Linked DNA regions of Nothobranchius furzeri. The protein of the gene in region 2 purifies or fractionates together with the protein of the main gene of each other region. This does not show direct contact. Links are inferred from orthologs where the notes say so. Each region holds a gene or a part of one and is shown on either strand. Other genes may lie near its edges.

Region 1 (3,430 bases), on a different chromosome or scaffold from region 2:
CCAGCTAGAGTCACCCTGATGCAGATGCCGTCTCGTCAAGAGATCAGAGTTCGTAATCTCTTCAATGTAGTTGACTGCAAACTGCACTGGCAGCGAAATGGAGATTATCTGTGTGTGAAAGTGGACAGGACTCCCAAAGGAACTCAGGTATGCAGCCAGAGATAGACTGTCTTTATATCTTATTGGATTTACGATAAAAGGCCCATCTCTGTTCGGTTCCAGGGTGTTGTCACCAACTTTGAAATCTTCCGAATGAGAGAGAAGCAGGTTCCTGTAGATGTCGTGGAGATGAAGGGTGAGAGCAAAAAAAAGAAGCATTTTTGCATCTATTTTTGACCGTTTTATTTTATAGAAGTAATCTAATGCGATCCGTTCGTGTCCTGTCTTCTTAGAAAGCATCATCGCATTTGCCTGGGAGCCCAACGGCAGCAAGTTTGCTGTTCTCCACGGAGAGTCTCCCAGAATCAACGCTTCCTTCTATCACGTCAAAAACAACGGGAAGATCGAGCTCATAAGTCAGTTGGTTGGGCAGATGAGCGAAAGTCGTTTTTTTAGTGTCTTTACTCCCTCTTGTAATTTTTATTATTTTTACAGAAATGTTTGACAAACAGCAGGCAAACAGCATTTTCTGGAGCCCCCAGGGACAGTTTATGGTGCTGGCTGGACTCAGAAGGTAGGGTGTGTGTGTGTGTGTGTGTGTGTGTGTGTGTGTTTTCTCTCAAAAGCCGCTGATGATAAACTTTATTTTCTGACACCTCATATGAGAGCTTTGCTCCTGATTCTAATGCTGTTCTGAGGCTTGTATCTTTTCTTTCACCTTTCACCTCTTGCACCTGCCCCAGTACCAAGTCTTTGTTTTGCCTCTGTGTTCAGTATGAACGGCGCTCTAGCCTTCGTGGATACCTCTGACTGCACCTTGATGAACATAGCAGAGCACTACATGGCCTCTGACGTAGAATGGGACCCGACCGGCCGATACGTCGTTACCTCCGTCTCCTGGTGGAGCCACAAGGTGTGTCCTGCTTCCACAAACTCACTCGCTCTTCTCTTCTGTTTAAACTCATCCCTTCTTTTGGACTCATTTGTCTAGGTGGACAACGCGTACTGGCTATGGACCTTCCAGGGCCGTCTCCTCCAGAAGAACAACAAGGACCGGTTCTGTCAGCTGCTCTGGAGGCCCAGACCTCCCACTCTGCTCAGCATAGATCAGATTAAGGTACCAGTTTGCCTGTAAAATGTGTGTCTGGAGCCGGTGATGACAGATAAAAACTTTCTGACACCTCGTATGAGAGCTGCACTCCAGCTCCTGATTCTATTTCTGATCTGAGGCTCATAAATACTTGACATGACATTTCAACCTCCTTGTTTTAGAACAGTCCTAATTAACTTGTGTTTTCCCTTGCAGATGATCAAAAAGGATCTTAAGAAATACTCAAAGATCTTTGAGCAGAAGGATCGTCTGAGCCAGTCCAAGGCTTCAAAGGTTTGACCTGTTCCTCCTTTTTGACATTTTACTCTTCATTGAAGTACAGATCTGTACATTCATGTTATCTCCTTCATCTTTGAAAGCTTGAGTCTGCCGACACTTAATTTTCTTCACTGCTGAAGTCATACAAATGTGTGTTTGTGAGCGTAGGAGCTGGTGGACAAGCGCAGAGCCATGATGGAGGAGTACCGTAACTACAGGGAGGCGGCGCTGCAGAACTATCAAGAACAGAAGAACCTCCGCCTTGAGCTCAGAGGAGGTGGGGCTCTGCTTTTACAAGCTCGACCTCGATGACCTCTGTGCTTCATTTTAACATTTGGATGGTTTGGTCTTCCAGGAGTGGACACTGATGAGCTTGACAGCAACGTGGACGACTGGGAGGAGGAGACCATTGAGTTTTTTATCAACGAAGAAATCATTCCCCTCGGAGATCTGTAGTCCGCTACGCAGGTAACACTTGATACGTGTAACAAACATGGCCACTGGTGTTTTGGTCCAGTGTTATGCTGGAATAACTGGAACAGCCCATTTTCTTTCTATTATAATTAGTTGCTTTGCACTTGGTGTCTGTATCAATGGTGTGATTTGGTGCTACTCTGATCTTCCTTTAGTCCATCTGTTGTTGTGTGGAAGGAGAGGATAGGAGCGGTGTCACTGACTGGAGAAGGACGACGGCCTCACTGTGACAAACGTTGGGTTCGTCTCGAGCCTCAGGTTTTCTTTTAGTGGCATCATCAAATCAACGTCTTGTGGATCAGCAGCCACATTGAGGAAAAAGAGAAGCTATCCAAATTATTTCTCTGCCTCACAATTGCCATTTTCTTCTTTGTGGAACTGGAAATTTAGTAAAACTGCCTTCATTTTTAAACATTGGTTGGAGTCAAAACTCTCAGCCCTATCTTAGTGGACCTTCTTCCTCCTGGGATTGATTCTGAACAGGCCTCATCATGCTGGTGTGTTGCTACAGCGCAGCACAGAGTGTCAAACCAGTGCATGAGGAAGGTGTTGAGTCAAAACCAGTAGCCTTGTCAACAAATGTGCTGATGTGGCGTTATAGTGGCCTGTATCCTCCTCCTTTCAGATTAGGCTTTCACACAGGGAGGGGGTGCGCAGTGGGAATAACTTTAAATAAACATTCTAACACAAGTACTCCTCTGTTCTGTTTTTGTGTCTTAAACAAGTTTTGTCCTGTTTTATTAAAATTTGTCAAAATGCAACAAAGGGTTTTTGAATGAATCTGTGGATAACAAATTCAGATTAGGGCTAAGTTTAGCAATGTCCCTGAGGTGAAAGAAGGAAGAGCGATCTAGAGAACTGACATGGTAGTCCAAAGTAAGAGCTGGGTCAAAGGTCACCAGGATTCCAGACAGGGTTTGGTGTGAGAAACAAGCTGACAGTCTCTGAGAACCAGCTTGTCTGGGGCACAGATTAGGATCTCAGTCTTCATTCAGCTGTAGAAAGTTACCAGCCATCCAGATTTTAATGGAGTGAGCAGATGTGTGACAGCTGCAGCTTGGACATCTCATGGGGTTTAAAGAGGATGTGCAGTTGGGTGTCATTTACATGAGGATGGTAGGAGATTCCTTAAAAGGACCTCAGAGTGCTGAAGGGGTAGCAGATAAAGGAGGAACAGTATTGACTCCAGCACATAACCTTGTGGAACCCCATGAGCAAGGGAGGTGGGGAAGAACCAAAACTTGCCAAAGAGATGAAATACTTGGACAAATAGGCGGCAAACTAATCTAGTATAGTTCCCGATAGGCCTAACAAGTAGCTTGGACATGAGCTGGAGTTTAGCGATGTCATCTCACAGTCAAAGCTATACTTAAAGGTTTTCTAAAGCATAACTCACAAAAAAGCTACCAAAGCTTATTTGCTGCTTTTGTTAGTGGATCAAACAGTTAAAATTATTTTAAGGTTTTGTATTTAATTGTATTTTCATGA
Region 2 (3,772 bases):
CAACAAAAAATCACGAATAACAGGCGCATCAAAACACAACAAACCTCAAGCAAACAACATTAGTTCTTAATCTAGTGTTCCTGATCTTCTCAGGTTTAGTATATGGGACGTTGTCTCCACAATACACTGGTGGGTGAGAATCTTTCCACATGGAAGAATGAGTCTTTGAGCCATTAAACGTGTTACAACCAGGTGTCTAGGGGGCCTGGGGTAACATGGAGGACGCGTGACACAAAGGAAAATTAACAAAAGTTTTATTTACTGTCTCTTAATTCAGAAAAGATGACTATTATTATTGTTAACCACCATGGATCTAAATCCACTTTTACCAAAACAGGTTCAAACAGTAACATGTAACATAACTCTAAAGAGCACAATATCGAAGTTCTAAGTGGGAGACAACAGACCAGAGGAAAGGCAGCTCTGCGCTATTGTCCCCATTGGTGAGGAGCTCCAGCAGGTCCTTTAAACAATTTGCGGCTGATGAAAACCCAGCTCAGCTGGTGCAGGGAGGAGCAAGGGTGAGCCAACAGGTCATAGTCTGCAGGCAGGCTCCTCAGATGCAACATAAAAATGCACAGAAAAATGAAATCACAACACAAAAAGGCTCCAGCCGTGACAAAACGTCAAAAGGTGACAAATCTATAATTCAGTGTCTGAAGAGGAATTCACTGCAACTGCTCCAAACAAAGCAAAGTGTCAGGGTGCACAGTTGTCCCACAGATCTTGAAGAGTGCATTAAAAATACCCCCGCAAATCTCCTGTAGGTTCAGGCACGTCCAGAACACGTGAAGAAGTGAACTGGATTAGAGCCCTGCTCTGACGCCCGGCCCTCGGCATTCTATTTTTCTGTGAATAAATTCGTTCTGCAGTTAGAAAAATACAGCATTCATTGCTGGTTTTTCTAACTGGAGCATTTTCAGAGCGGCAGATTAAATTTACAAACGCTATAATAATTGGGGGCAATGTGCTCTGCAGTTAGAAAATTAGAATGCTGCTTTTTTTTTCTAATTGCACAAGAGCGCATTTTCAGAGCAGATAAATTTTACAAACGCATCCGATTAATATTGTGTTCGTAAATTTCATCTGCCGCTCGAAAAATACGCTCTGTTAGAAAAAAAATCTGCATTGATGCTGTTTTTCTTTTTTACTGCAGAACGCTTCTCACAGAATGCTGAGCATTCTATCACGCTAAAACATTATGAAAGGTTAAAAAAAAGTCTGGCTCGGGTCGGACCTGAGAATCCTGAAAACCTTTTCGGACCGGGTCGGGCTGGGGCTCCACCCCCTCGGGCCGGGCCGGACACAGGCTCAGATTTTAGGCCCGTGCAGGGCTCTAAACTGGATACTTGCTCGGCTCAAGGATTTATGAACGTTCTGTAAAATCTCGTACCAGACCTGCAACAATCCAGTACCCAGGTCCAACTCTTATTTCTGATAAAAAAGCATCCAGACTGGTCTGATGGTCTGAGCTAAGCTGGGTGTACTTAAAACAAGGAAGACGGAAAATGGATGGATACCGCTGCAGTCGGAACCAGGTGCCCATGCCACATACGCAAGATCATGCTCAGCTCCTCTGCAACAGTCTGAGATTAGTGGGAGATTGGCTACATGCTAACTCGAAGCTACAAAGAGCTTGGAGCCAAAGGGGGTTAGCTACGAACTACCAGAGCTAATTCAAATCTAACGGAGGTTTTCGAGTGCTTTAGTGTGAAAAACAAGGTTGAATGACCCAAAAGTGACGCAGCATCAACTGAAAGAGCTGCAGTGTTTCTGTGATCTCCCTCAGCGCTTCCCAGATAACGAGGACAATTGCTGCCTTGCATGGAAGCCAAGCAGCCGCACGGCTCAGCTGTCACGGGAGTGGGTGGACACCTGCTTCTAGCAACTATTCCCAGTCGGGATACAGGAAGTCGGGCGCCCGCCTCGCTGGGCTGCCTCCAGGATGATGGAGCTGCAAATCATTCACAAACCCTGTCTGGTCATGTGAAACTAAAATGGGTAGCACCGTCTTGAGGTGCCTGACCAGGACCTTCACCAGAATTTTAGCATCTACATTCAAAAGCAAAGCCGTACTATAAGAGCATAAGGGTTTGGTGTTTTAGTCTTTTTTTAAAAGCACAGAAATAACAGCTTGACGCGTATGTGGCAGAAACGACCAAGCTGTAGCGAACTCATTGAAGACCAACAACAGCAATGGTGAGAGTGGCCCATAACGTTTAGAAAGTAAGCCACCATCCTGTCTGGGAGATTTGCTTCTCGGCGTGTTGCTGATCACAGAAGCAATCTCTCTTACTCAAATATCTTTCTAGATCCTCGGCCATATCCACACTGATAAAGGGAATCGTTATACCGTCGACCAAAGCTTCAAAATCACCCTCCAGCAGAGTCGAGACAAGGACAGCAGTCGGTAAAATTGACCAAACTTGAGTTGATAGTTTCATTCAAGCATTAAGTGATCTGTAACCGCTCGTTGTCCTAGCACAAGAAAGGTACTGAAGCTGTGAAACTGGATAAATCTACTCTTTCAGAAGGGTCCTGGGACGTGGAGCCCTGCAGGTCTGATCAGCCCGTGACGCATGCCCAACTACTACCGTGGATAGTCACTTCGGAAATAAAAAAATGCTCTTCCCCCATCTGTTCATAATATGACCTGTTAGAGGTTTATTTAGAAATAATATTTTTATTACATACTTTTTCCTTTTCTCTTTCTCTGCAGACCCAACCAAGTTTTTTGGTTGTGAACTCGGCGCTCAGACCCAGTTTGATGCCAAAAACGATCGCTACATCGTAAATGGATCCCACGAGGCGAACAAGTTGCAGGATATGCTTGATGGGTTCATCAGGAAATTTGTGCTGTGTACCGAGTGCGACAACCCTGAAACTGATCTGGTGAATGAATCTACGTTTTCTCTGAAATGGATTCTAAGAGATTTTAATTCAAGGAACTAGTAAATCTAAATTTGTCTCATTGGTAATTGTAGGTTTTTGAAGGATTTTACTTTGTAGACTATAAAACGATTAGTTAATTACTTTTTCTTGGTGTTTCGATTAAATTTTAGAAACACAAATGTGAAAACAAGTAGATTAAGTCAGATTTCCAAATTCAAAAGCTAAGTGACTGTGATTGCCGTCTTTGCAGCATGTCAATCCCAAGAAACAAACCATCGGCACTTCCTGTAAGGCTTGTGGAAACCGCGGCATGCTAGACACCAGACACAAACTCTGCACATTCATCCTCAAAAACCCACCAGGTGAGAGATTCTAGTCTGTCGCCAAGTTTACAAGACAAGGAACCTCTTCTCATGCAGTCCCATAAACACGGCTGTGAAATTGTGTGCTTCACCACTAACAGAGAGCACTGACAGTGGGTCTGCATCTGCAAAGAAAGAGAAGGAAAAGAAGAACCGCAAAAAAGACAAGGAGAATGGCTCGAGCGGTGGCGAGGCTGGTAACCAAGACAACATTGATGCCCCTGAAGCTGTGGTATGTTTTTGGTTCGTCATGCACACATTTGGCATTCAGCTAGATGGATTCATCCACAAACAAACCCCCAAACTTTGTCCAAAAATAAAAACTACAACATTTACATCCAGTTAGGCTCTTTTTCTGATTTTAAGGTAACAAATTAAAAATTTTCCATGAGTTTTGTATAAACGGACATCTGCGTGCCCTTCTGGTGTTCAGGATAGAGACGATGATGATGAAGACTGGGCAGAAGAGACAACTGAGGAGGCTCAAAGGCGTCGAATGGAGGAGATCAGTGACCATG

What was found.
Region 1: the proteins of eif5 (region 2) and eif3ba fractionate together in Homo sapiens (co-fractionation; 3 studies listed by BioGRID and IntAct, with this or other methods). This does not show direct contact. The link is inferred for Nothobranchius furzeri from reciprocal best matches to the Homo sapiens genes EIF5 and EIF3B.

The regions. Positions count from the first base shown.
Region 1 is NC_091744.1:16,233,138-16,236,567, reverse strand, and holds the end of eif3ba (eukaryotic translation initiation factor 3 subunit B), read left to right. Parts: coding exon 1-147; intron 148-222; coding exon 223-295; intron 296-392; coding exon 393-515; intron 516-594; coding exon 595-673; intron 674-723; exon of another isoform or gene 724-801; intron 802-873; coding exon 874-1,012; intron 1,013-1,090; coding exon 1,091-1,216; intron 1,217-1,247; exon of another isoform or gene 1,248-1,332; intron 1,333-1,405; coding exon 1,406-1,483; intron 1,484-1,636; coding exon 1,637-1,745; intron 1,746-1,823; coding exon 1,824-1,924; 3' UTR 1,925-1,936; intron 1,937-2,097; 3' UTR 2,098-2,635; downstream 2,636-3,430.
Region 2 is NC_091758.1:10,699,861-10,703,632, forward strand, and holds part of eif5 (eukaryotic translation initiation factor 5), read left to right. Parts: intron 1-2,719; coding exon 2,720-2,892; intron 2,893-3,142; coding exon 3,143-3,254; intron 3,255-3,355; coding exon 3,356-3,486; intron 3,487-3,687; coding exon 3,688-3,772.